Arabidopsis thaliana: one gene and its partner. Each later gene encodes a partner of the first gene's protein in a complex. Each region holds a gene or a part of one and is shown in the gene's direction. Other genes may lie near its edges.

What was found.
Region 2: SMU2 (region 1) and SCL30 share a complex: the UniProt entries of both Arabidopsis thaliana proteins name them as parts of the spliceosome.

What each region holds. Positions count from the first base shown.
Region 1 is NC_003071.7:11,254,414-11,260,970, reverse strand, and holds SMU2 (RED family protein), read left to right. Parts: upstream 1-1,900; 5' UTR 1,901-2,057; coding exon 2,058-2,104; intron 2,105-2,195; coding exon 2,196-2,336; intron 2,337-2,431; coding exon 2,432-2,481; intron 2,482-2,558; coding exon 2,559-2,673; intron 2,674-2,748; coding exon 2,749-2,797; intron 2,798-2,898; coding exon 2,899-2,988; intron 2,989-3,537; coding exon 3,538-3,606; intron 3,607-4,013; coding exon 4,014-4,137; intron 4,138-4,618; coding exon 4,619-5,025; intron 5,026-5,168; coding exon 5,169-5,552; intron 5,553-5,640; coding exon 5,641-5,922; 3' UTR 5,923-6,039; downstream 6,040-6,557. Other genes in the region: AT2G26470 (embryonic stem cell-specific 5-hydroxymethylcytosine-binding protein), read left to right, coding at 1-17, 481-590, 671-736, 888-1,655. UniProt on the Arabidopsis thaliana protein: Auxiliary spliceosomal protein involved in splicing of specific pre-mRNAs that affect multiple aspects of development.
Region 2 is NC_003074.8:20,558,939-20,564,387, forward strand, and holds SCL30 (SC35-like splicing factor 30), read left to right. Parts: upstream 1-1,863; 5' UTR 1,864-1,964; intron 1,965-2,082; 5' UTR 2,083-2,085; coding exon 2,086-2,261; intron 2,262-2,361; coding exon 2,362-2,439; intron 2,440-3,539; coding exon 3,540-3,710; intron 3,711-3,851; coding exon 3,852-3,883; intron 3,884-4,065; coding exon 4,066-4,144; intron 4,145-4,226; coding exon 4,227-4,376; intron 4,377-4,461; coding exon 4,462-4,564; 3' UTR 4,565-4,947; downstream 4,948-5,449. Other genes in the region: PBL1 (PBS1-like 1), read left to right, coding at 65-210, 290-413, 601-1,025; AT3G55470 (Calcium-dependent lipid-binding (CaLB domain) family protein), read left to right, coding at 5,418-5,449. UniProt on the Arabidopsis thaliana protein: Involved in intron recognition and spliceosome assembly. Probably active at the 5' splice sites.

The sequences.
Region 1 (6,557 bases):
CCTCCAATGGCTCCATGGTTAGTAATATATACACTGGCTACATCGTGTGACATTTTTTCTTATTCAGTAATGATTCTCAGTAGCACAATGAAACACATAGCATATGAAGTTGGGAATTGTATATTTGTCTATGGACGCTTGAAGCTTGTGTTCCTCGTTGTTTAAAATGAGGTTTAATCAAACCCGCACATTAATAAAGATACAAACTTATCATAGTAGTATGAGTTGTTTCTGTTTTCGTATTACATCTGATTTGATAAGCTCTTTTAGAAAAGATACATATGTAATTGCATGAGAATCTTTAACTTCTTTAAGTACTGGAATAGAACAAGCAGTGGCTGTTTAAGGTAGTTTAATATTGAGAGTAGCGTTTCTTATACAATGCTTACATTATTAGCGGCTGTTGATGATTGTTTTGTTGATTTGCAGCAGCCCTGAATTTTTGTGTTAACACGTGAGTTTGTTTATTTTTCATGTAAGACAGAATGCCTGTAATTCTTGGTGATAAGGATTCAATCGACACATGGTTAGATGATCCCTCGACAACGAAACTGCAGCCATTACTTTCACCATATGAAAAATCGGATTTGGTATGCAATTGCTTACTTCCTCGCATATAAGAGTGGTCTTTCCTTTTTCATTTACTTGAGATTGAAGTTTGAACTTTCAGGTATGGTATCCAGTAACCTCTGCAATTGGTAAACCAACGTTTGATGGACCAGAGTGTATTCAACAGGTACGGTTAACATCTTTCCCTTTCTTAGTAGTGTACAACTCAAATCTCAAGTTTGATCTCAAGTCGCATTAAACATATTGTCAGGATCACTATGTATTTGTACAGTCTGTATGCTTATTGTCATTTCAAATAAGGATTATGCCACCTGCAGATACCGCTAAAGACTTCACAAAATAGCTTGATCTCGAAGTTTTTCTCAACAAAGCAGCCCAAAACAGATGAAGGAGACAAAGAAACCAAATCAACAGATGCAAATATCATAGTTGATTTGAAAAAGGAACCTACGGCTGAAAAGGACACGTTTTCTGACAGCATTAAGAAAATTGAAGAACTAGACGGGGAGAAAGATATGTCGAATGTAGCCAAAAATCTGGAGTTTCAAGAGATTGTGAAAGCAGAACCATTTGTTGAAGATAACTCAGCAGTTGCGTCACTTCCTGAACCTGTAAAGAATGATGTTCAGGAGGGTACAAAGGAAGAAGGCAAATCCCTAAAGACTGGTCTTACTAAAGAAACAGGTGAGAGCAGTGCCAGTATACCGGCTGAGTCCTACATCCTTGATCTCCAAAGAATCTCAAAAGAAGAACCCGAGACTCAAAGCCATCATTTCTTTACTGCAGATGAGAGATTGAATCAGCTGCATGAGGCTGTCGAAGATATTCCAGGAAATGAAAACCAGAAGACAGTTTTAACTAGCCCGACGACGAAGGAAGGTGGCTTAGTGTTTAGCGAAAAGAGTGGGACAAAGCGAGACTATGAGGTATTCTCAGCTCAAGAAAAGCCACAGAAACACTATGAGAGGTTGCAAAATGTTAAAAGCAGTGGGAAACAAGGAAAGATGCATGGAATGGGGAAATCTAACATCAAGAAATCTAAGGAGACGCAGTCTACATTACATTTCTTTTTCGATGAGAAATAGTTTTGAGTCTACATAACATCTATGAGGACCATGTTGGCCTACTTTTGTTGTAGATAATGTTAGATAAGACCATCGTTTTGGGAATGTTGCTTGTATTGTATGTGTAGTGTTTGATCTTTGATCTAAGGTAATATTATTATGAATGAATTGGGTTTTTAATGTCCTTGGTGGATGGTAAAAATTTGTGAACCAGGTTTCGATAATCAAACCCGGTCGCTAAACGATTTTATCGGTTTAAATTAGATCCGGTTTCTAAATTAAACATCGAATTCTAATTTCCCCTGACCAGAACCACCAACGCTTTGAAATCGAAACAGACACAGATATCATCAGAACGAAGAACTTCAGCCAAAATCTGATTTTTCTCTGTTTCACGACAAGAAATCGAATTAACGAAATCTAATGAAACCTTCAAAATCGCATCACAAGGAGAAAACCGCTCGTCGGAGGTCAGAAATCTTCATTTTCCTCTCTCCCCTTTTCTTCAAAAGCTAGGGTTTTTACACAAAAACATCAAAACTCGTCACTTTTCCTTCACAGAGAGGAGAAACTAGAGGAATCCGATAATCCAAAATACAGAGATCGTGCTAAAGAAAGAAGAGAGAATCAAAATCCTGATTATGATCCATCAGAGCTTAGTTCTTTCCATGCCGTTGCTCCTCCCGGAGCTGTCGATATCCGGTAGCACTTGTCTTTCCTCGATTACTTCATTATCTTTCTAAATTCTAATTGGGTTTCTCTAAATTTCTGTTGCTGTGTACTTTTTTTTGTTGTAGTGCTGCTGATGCACTTAAGATATCTATTGAGAACAGCAAATATCTTGGAGGTTTGTGTTAGGTTTACAAATTTATTCAAAATGTTTTTTTTTTGAGGTGCTTATGTTGTTTTTATGATATGGTTTAGGTGATGTTGAACATACCCATTTAGTTAAGGGTTTGGATTATGCTTTGTTGAATAAAGTACGAAGCGAAATCGTTAAGAAACCTGATGGTGAAGATGGTGATGGTGGGAAGACTAGGTAGATTTGGTTATACTTGGTTTATTGACTCATTTGGCTTCTTTGATTCAAGTGCTAATTTTACTATATTAACAGTGCGCCTAAGGAAGATCAGCGAGTTACTTTCCGTACCATAGCTGCAAAGGTATGCAATTTTGTTCTGAACTTTGCAGATGAGGAGCAAGTTTTGGGATGTAGTTAACGCGCTTGATGTTTTTTGTTTCTCTTGTCTTTGATCTGTTTCAGTCAGTTTACCAGTGGATTGTTAAGCCTCAGACTATCATCAAGTCTAATGAGATGTTTCTTCCCGGTAGAATGACATTTGTCTATGATATGGTATTGCTTGTTAACTCTTTTTCAGGAAGATTCAATCTTATTACATGTTCTTATGTCGTTGTTTGTCTTAGGAAGTAGTCATACATGTGTATTCTGCTTCAACGATTCTTCTTCGAGTATTAGTTAATATTTAGTTAAATCTTCGCTTCTAGTTTAAATACATGTCTCAGGAAAATTTTAAGAAGGTAGCTTAAGCTGTTTTGCATTACCTTGTTAGCGATTTATTCACGATTTAATCTATTTGTTAGAAACCTTATACGCAGAATTGGTTGTAAAGGTTTTTTAGTTCGATTAACGTGTCTGCTCTTCTTGAAGAAGCATATTCTTTTTCTCTTGCAGATAGAGACACCATACGACAAGAAAAGTCAGTTGAATATACTATTGATATTTGGTAGTGTTACGTATGAAGTTTCCTTTGAGATACTTAGTCTCAGCTAAGCTGCTAGGCTAAGCTTATAGTATGGGTTTAGTCTGCCCTTTGAAAGCCTCCCTGTTGATGTATATTAATTTTATTCCCTTTTGTTTTTAATTCTATTTGTTGCTTTTCAGGAAGGTGGCTATACCCATGACATACCGACCACGTTATATAGGAGTAAAGCTGACTGCCCGGTGCCCGAGGTATGTATACTTAGAGTCCTTGTTGTAATAGTCTTCTTGATCCTGGAAAAATCTTTAGACTGTAAGCAGTGATGTGACATGATCGTTTTGATTCTAATGAAAATAAGCCCACTCTGCCTGTCTCTGCAACCTATTTTCTTTTACAGTGTTGATGTATTCAATACAGCTAATATCGATTATATAAGTCATTAGTTTTGGTAGAAGCATAGATTTTCTTTAAGTAATTATAAAAATCTTTTTAAACTAAATTCAACTTTCTTTCTACTAATCTGGAACCAAAATTAACGTTGCTTAATATGTTTGTTTACTGAACATAATAAAAATTTATAATTGAAATCACTGCTGCAATTTTTGCGAGAATTGTTTCATTTAACAGGCACTGTTTCTCTGTCCTATCTCCCCAACAGGAATTTGTCACAGTCAATGTTGATGGTTCTGTGCTAGATCGAATTGCTAAAATCATGTCATATCTTCGCCTTGGGTCGTCGGGGAAAGTTCTCAAGAAGAAAAAGAAAGAAAAAGATGGGAAAGGTATTTTGCATCTACTGGTGCATTTTTTTGTAAAGTTTAAGTATTAGCAGACCTGATTCACTTACACTGGTTAAATAAGTTCTCTGCTTTTCCCGAAATTTGTTAATTATCTGGTCTTACAGTTTGGAGCCAAGAATGTAAAGAGTGTACCTAGTCTTTGACCACAGTACTAGTAGTATCTACTGATGTCTGGTTGTGTTCTCGCTTATCAATTGTGAAGAAATTTAGTTGTATCATAAATATGTTGCTGCCGTCCCTTGATGGTTCTGTAAACTCTGTTGTTAGTAATTTTTATTATGCTAATGTGGTGCCAGTACATGTTGTAGTTCTTGTTTCACATCAGCATACAATTGGATACAAGTTGGCTGGTTTCTGATTCTTTAGCAAGATAATTTGCTAATTTCTATTCTATCATACGTTCATGCATTTTTTATATTATTTTGCCTTATTAATCACATCCACTGCAACTTTTCAAATGCAGGAAAGATGTCAACTATTGCTAATGATTATGATGAAGACGACAATAAATCTAAGATTGAGAATGGATCTTCTGTGAACATAAGTGACAGGGAAGTTTTACCTCCTCCTCCGCCATTACCACCTGGGATAAACCATCTGGATTTGAGTACGAAACAAGAAGAACCCCCTGTTGCCAGGACAGACGATGATGACATATTTGTTGGTGAAGGCGTCGATTACACGGTTCCTGGTAAAGATGTGACACAGAGTCCTATTTCTGAGGACATGGAAGAATCTCCCAGGGATAAGGAGAAAGTATCTTATTTCGATGAGCCTGCTTATGGTCCAGTGCAGGAGAAGGTACCTTATTTCGCTGAGCCTGCTTATGGTCCAGTGCAGCCATCTGCTGGTCAGGAATGGCAAGATATGGTCAGTTCACCCTAGCTAATCCTTGGTTGTATTTATTCTCAAATCTTGATCCTCGTCTGCAAATTTTGCGTCTTGGTATGTAGTTATTAGATGTCATTTATTCCCATATTTAGGTTTTTTCTGGTGGTTGTGTGTTTTTCCAGAGTGCATATGGTGCAATGCAAACTCAAGGACTGGCTCCTGGGTACCCCGGAGAGTGGCAGGAATACCAATATGCAGAGCAAACTGGGTATCAGGAGCAGTACCTTCAACCTGGAATGGAGGGTTACGAGGTCCAACCAGAAACCGATGTTTTACTAGATCCTCAACTCATGTCGCAGGAAGAGAAAGATAGGGGTTTGGGATCGGTTTTCAAGCGTGATGACCAAAGGCTTCAACAGTTGAGGGAGAGTGACGCAAGGGAGAAAGATCCAACTTTTGTATCCGAGAGTTATTCAGAGTGTTATCCAGGTTACCAAGAGTACAACCATGAGATTGTCGGTAGTGATGAAGAACCTGATTTGTCTAAAATGGACATGGGTGGAAAGGTATGCCCTGACTTAATTACATGTTCCTTGTTATTTATTGTGGAAGAGCAAAATTACAGTATCTGGTTGTTGAATGTACATGGAACAGGCAAAGGGTGGTTTACATCGATGGGACTTTGAGACAGAAGAGGAATGGGAAAAATATAATGAGCAGAAGGAAGCGATGCCAAAAGCGGCGTTCCAATTCGGGGTAAAGATGCAAGATGGTCGAAAGACAAGGAAGCAGAACCGTGACCGTGACCAGAAGCTCAATAATGAACTTCACCAGATCAATAAGATACTTACGAGAAAGAAGATGGAGAAGGAGGGTGGGGATGTTGCTTCTTTGGATGCCGCCGAGGCACAAACTCCTAAGAGATCCAAGCATTGATTTGTCTCTTGTCTACTCCAGTCATTCTCTCGTAATCTATTTTGTATCTTCAAGTCTGTTTAGGTTTTTGGTACCTTGAGTTCAAATTCTTAATTTAGAAAAGATTTTACGTCCAAATTTTGAAATGATAGCATTCTTATTTCCTAATTACCCATTAAACACGAAGCAGTTTTGGGAGTTGGGACAGCCTTAGGTTTTAGGTTTAGCATCACCAAAAATGAGACGCTTCAGTAACCAACCCAACAAGACAAGCAAAAAACTAGAAAAATCATAAAACCCTAATCAGAAAAATGGCCACAGATTCCATGAATGCAGCCACCGTCAATGACTCCGACCGTTTCATCTTCTCCACACCTCTCTCCGCTCGTGGTTCAACCAAACGTGACGCCATCTCCGTCGAGGATCTTGGCCAATACACTCTTCTCAAACTCCATTCAAATCCGGTTTCACAAACTACATAGATCTTGGCCAATACAACGACGAAGATGACGATGTAAGAATCCTCTGTTTCACACCAATCTCCATAGAAAAGGGACAGTCCTCTGTTTGACCAATACAACGACGAAGACGCTCTTTCGACTGCGAGATATGTGTTGAACGAAAACCAAGGATTGAATCTTTTCGAATCAATGGCT
Region 2 (5,449 bases), on another chromosome or scaffold:
TCGTCCATGTTTTGTGAAACTTTGAGAGGTTGTTTGTTCTTATGTTTGAATGATTTTTTTGAAGATGGAAATAAGGATTTTAAGCCGCTATCTTGGATTCTACGGATTAAGGTTGCACTTGATGCAGCTAAAGGTCTTGCATTTCTTCATAGTGATCCCGTCAAAGTCATTTACAGAGACATCAAGGCGTCAAACATCTTACTGGACTCGGTATTCTTCTCTTTCGATGTCTACTTGTTGTCTTTATCAACGACTTAAAAGATACTGAGTTTTGTCTTTCAAACAACAGGACTTCAACGCAAAGCTTTCAGACTTTGGTTTAGCGAGAGACGGTCCAATGGGAGAACAAAGTTATGTTAGTACAAGGGTCATGGGTACTTTTGGGTACGCAGCTCCTGAGTATGTCTCAACAGGTACATTCTGTCACTAAGATATGATGCAAGTAATAATGGTTGGATAAGAAAATGTAAGACTGTTGCATGGTGCCTAACACTGGTTTTTAATGTAAATTTGAAGATAGCAACTATAAAATTTATGTGGTTAAAGGAGCATATGGGTTGATAGCTAGTTTCGTTCTCTCATCTTTCTATCTTTTTTCAGGCCACTTAAATGCTAGAAGCGACGTATACAGTTTCGGGGTTGTTCTGCTAGAACTACTATGTGGAAGGCAAGCACTAGACCATAACCGCCCGGCCAAGGAGCAAAACCTTGTGGATTGGGCTCGACCATACCTCACAAGCAGGCGAAAGGTTCTACTAATTGTGGACACTCGGCTTAACTCACAGTACAAACCCGAAGGAGCAGTGAGACTGGCAAGCATTGCTGTGCAATGCCTATCATTCGAACCCAAATCACGTCCGACCATGGACCAAGTGGTTCGAGCCTTGGTACAGCTGCAAGACAGCGTGGTTAAACCGGCCAATGTTGACCCGCTTAAGGTTAAGGATACCAAGAAACTTGTGGGATTGAAAACAGAAGACAAGTACCAGAGAAACGGTTTAAACAAAAAAACCGTTGGATTGTAGTAGGTAGAGGGAAATATAAGGTTACTTGGTTAGGTACTCTTCATGTCTTCTTCTTGTGTATTGTAATATTGTGCGAAGTGATTTTGACATTTTGTAACACTGCTTATAGTTTTGCTCCTGAAATATTCGATTTGGAGATACTTGTTTTCTCTCTATCTATAGTTTGGTGATATATGCCAAAATGTGGTAGTGATCAATTCCACTCTCTTCTAACATTTTAGTTTACTATATATGTAACTAATTTCTGTCAAGTTGATTTGTTTTTATGAAAATGACTTTAATTAGTATAGTTGATGATTGAATCATAAATAACTTGTAGCCAAAAACAGACAGAATAGTACAACAAACTCATAATGTAACATTAATATCAATTCCGAAGTTCACAAAATACCATAAATATCAAATTCCATGAACATTGTCATCAACCAGAAATAAATAAATTTTACGTTAATTAAGCCAAAATGGATCTCGAGTTAAATCAATATCAATAACTATTCAACATAGCCAAATAAGTCACTATTTTAGAACAAGAACTAACTCAATTTGAGGTTTTCAAAATTCCTATATCAATTTAGAACGAGAATCTCCAAAACACAAGTCACCTCAGTAAACTTATATATTTAAGGGTTACTTTGTTTTTGTCATAAATGTTAAAAGTTACTAAAACTGTTTTTTCCCCAATTTTTTTTACTGTTTCTCTAATTGTCAACAATCAACAATCTTTCCCTTTTTCCATTTAAAAAAACATACGCGAAAAAGGAAAAAACGCGATAAGGCCAAAAGCCCATTTAATAAATGGGCCAAGCTCTCCGATCAATAGAAAAAGATCTGTCTTCTTCTTCTCTATTCTCTGATCTCTCATAAGAAGGGCTTAGGGTTCACTTCAGATCTGTCTTTGAACATTGCTACTCTCAAGTGATCAAATTAACTCCGTCGCAGGTAAATTCCACAATCCTCCGACCGTAAACCCTAATTTATCACTGTTCTTCCAAGAAACAAGTTTTTGTTTTGATGAAATTGAGGATCTTGCGTTGAAATCGTTTTGTTTCTATGGTAGGTGATGAGGAGATACAGTCCGCCTTATTACAGTCCTCCGAGGAGAGGATACGGTGGTCGAGGTAGAAGTCCTCCTCCTCCTCCTCCTCGACGTGGATATGGTGGTGGTGGTGGTGGTGGTGGACGTAGAGGATCTAGCCATGGAAGTCTCTTGGTTCGTAACATTCCTCTTGATTGCAGGTAAATTCTCTTCCTTTGGTTTAAAGTTTTGATTTTGTTTTAGTTTATCTTTGAAGATTTCGTTGGGTTGTTGTTGATTTTGTTGTTTTTGATTTTGTAGACCAGAAGAGCTTCGTGAGCCCTTTGAGAGGTTTGGACCTGTGAGAGATGTCTATATCCCCAGAGACTATTACTCAGGGTAAGCCTCCTCTTTCCTTCTCGATATCTTGATCTTTTTCACTGTACCTGAAATTTGTGCTGCGAATTATGTCTTTTGAGGTGTGAATCTTTTATAGATGGACTAGTTAGGTAATGGCTTAGCATATGATTCTTGTTTTCCTGTAGAATTTGCTTTCTTTACGATTGAAAAATGCTGTCTAAACACTTTGCTGCTTCACATTCAATGCTGAACCATTTGTTTTGATTAAAAAGGATGTTCATAAGTCTTCAACTTGTGCACAAAGTGAGGAAAATTGCAAGTGACATATGAGTTTTGAATTTTGATTTTGGCGCAACCTGTGCATGTTACTTTTTTTATACACTCCACTTTTTGATCGAGCTAAGTTCTCGAGGTGAGAAGAGGTCCTTTTGGTTGAGTTCTCGATTTTTTCAGAGCTTTTTGTTTTGGAGTTCTTTTTTTCATAGTAAATTAAACATTCCACTGATTTCCCAGGGGGTATGTTGGCTTGAAGTTAAAACAAGACCAAGCCCCACATTTGATGAAGGCCTCATGAAAAAAATCTTAACTTAAGGATATTAAGGGTCATTTCAAATCAAGAATGTTTTGTTTGGAAGCAAGTTATATGTGAAGCATGTTTTATTTGGAAGGAAGTATTAAGTGAAGAATATTTTGTTTGGAAGCAAGTAATAAGTGAAGAATGTTTTGTTTGGAAGCAAGTAGTAAGTGAAGAATGTTCTGAATGGAAGCAGTAATAAGTGAAGCATGTTCTTTATGAAGCTATACAGTAAATTACTCAAAACCTTAGAAGTTTTTTGGGGAAGACGACCTGAAGAGAACTTAAGTTTGGGATCAAGTGCATCTTATTTTTACAAGATGCTTGCCTCTTTTCGAGTTGATATGCTTGAACTGTTATGAAAGGGTCAGCTACTAATCATATTAGCGTAAGTAGAACTCTGCTTTTCTTAGAAGTTCTCACACGATGACGTTTACTTAGAAGTTCTCAGAAGCTGTAGAATGTAGGCTGATTTTGCTGGTAATTCTAGATTTATCTGGTGTTTTGTGCATTTGCTTTCAACCATCAACCACTTGGAATGATAAGCTTCTGATAAATGATGCAGGCAACCGCGGGGGTTTGCGTTTGTGGAGTTTGTTGATGCATATGATGCTGGGGAGGCTCAAAGAAGCATGAACAGGAGAAGCTTTGCTGGAAGAGAGATAACGGTGGTTGTTGCTTCAGAGTCTAGGAAAAGGCCTGAAGAGATGCGTGTGAAGACTAGGACTCGTAGTAGGTAAGTTTCCATATTTCTGATTGCTTAAGCAAAAGAGTTATCAATCAAATCGCTCTTCGTGATTAATGCTCTGCAAGTTATCCATCATTTATGAAAAGAAGTTGAGAAGGAAATAATCGTTGCGTTGTCTCAATTTTTCAGGGAACCTTCAGGCTCCAGGGATCGTTCTCATGGTTAGTAATTTTCTCTCTGGTTATGCACATGTTATGTTCTATACCAGCAAAGTTTACACAAATATTAGCACAGCTAGATTGGGACGCACTTGTTTATACACAGCTTGAGAAAGCACTTGTTTATACATGTTCTCATGGTTTGTATACACAGCTTGAGTATGTTTATGATTTTTTGTTCTCAGGACGGTCTCGTTCACGTTCAATCTCTCGATCACGTTCTCCACGTCGTCCGTCAGATTCTAGAAGCAGATACCGATCAAGGTAACATGCTTCATCACACATACATTTCCATCATCATCAAGTCAACAAGAAGTATATATGGTTTTAGATAATGGTGTTACAGGTCTTACTCTCCTGCACCAAGACGAAGAGGAGGTCCTCCTCGTGGGGAAGAAGATGAAAATTACAGTCGTAGGTCCTACTCCCCTGGCTATGAAGGTGCTGCTGCTGCTGCTCCAGATCGGGACAGAAATGGAGACAATGAGATTAGAGAGTAAGTGAAACATGGTGTCTGATTTGTTTTGCCCCTGAAGATTGTGTCTGATTTTTCGTATCTGGACATTGATTGGTCTTAATAGAAAACCGGGCTATGAAGCAGAGGATAGACGTCGTGGTGGAAGAGCAGTTTCAAGGTCGCCATCAGGATCCAGGTCCAGGTCTGTGGAGGTATCTCCAAGATGAAACTTATGTGAAGAAGTGGCCGACCAAAACTTTGTGCAACGCTTTATGGGTTTTGCATTTCTCTAGTAGTGCGTCTCTGTGTCTTTAAAAACTCCTTACTCTGGCTTGTCAAAGATATTTTGTCTTGTGATGTGATGTTACTTGAAATCGGTTTCGGTTTATGGGTCTTATTATAAAATTGTATGAAGAAGATTGGTTATGCTTTTGATGTGAGACAGGTTTAAAACCCACAATGAGCGAGTAAACCAAGTCTTCTCTCGTATGGTCGAGGTCGAGAATTGCGACCTTTTTTTGTTCTCGAGCAGCCTTTGCAGATATTTAATTAGGAAAGTCAGGTCTAAGAATTTCTGAGAAGAAGAGAATAAAAAGACTCATTCATCTAGAAGAAGCCATAATGATGTTTTATTGGGTCTGTTTTGATCAAAAGTCCAAAGACTTCTACTTTTAATTGGGTTCGTATACATTTTTCAAGCAGCCAAGAGTCTTTCCTTAAACTAAGTAAGGGTAAGATGGTCATTTTAGCTTAGTTGACCAGACTTATAAACTTTAGGTTTTGCCTCCTGTTACGTAATAATGGTTTGGTTTGGTTTGATCAAGTCTTGGAACCACGACGCAGGTTATGTTTGAAAATTGAAAAAGAGTAAATAAGAATAGTAAAAAATCATTATGTGAACGAGAAAGTCTGCGTGTTCTTGCTTCTGTATTTAAAGACTTTGTCTGACACATCCACTTCATCAATCGTTTCTCTTTCTCCTTCTTCTTCTTCTTCTTCTTCTTCTTCTTCTTCTTCTTCTTCTTCTTTTTCTTTAGAAACAACACAAACCCCAAAAACTTAAAAAATAACTCTACAGAGATGGCTGTTGGAATCCTTGAGGTTAGTCTGAT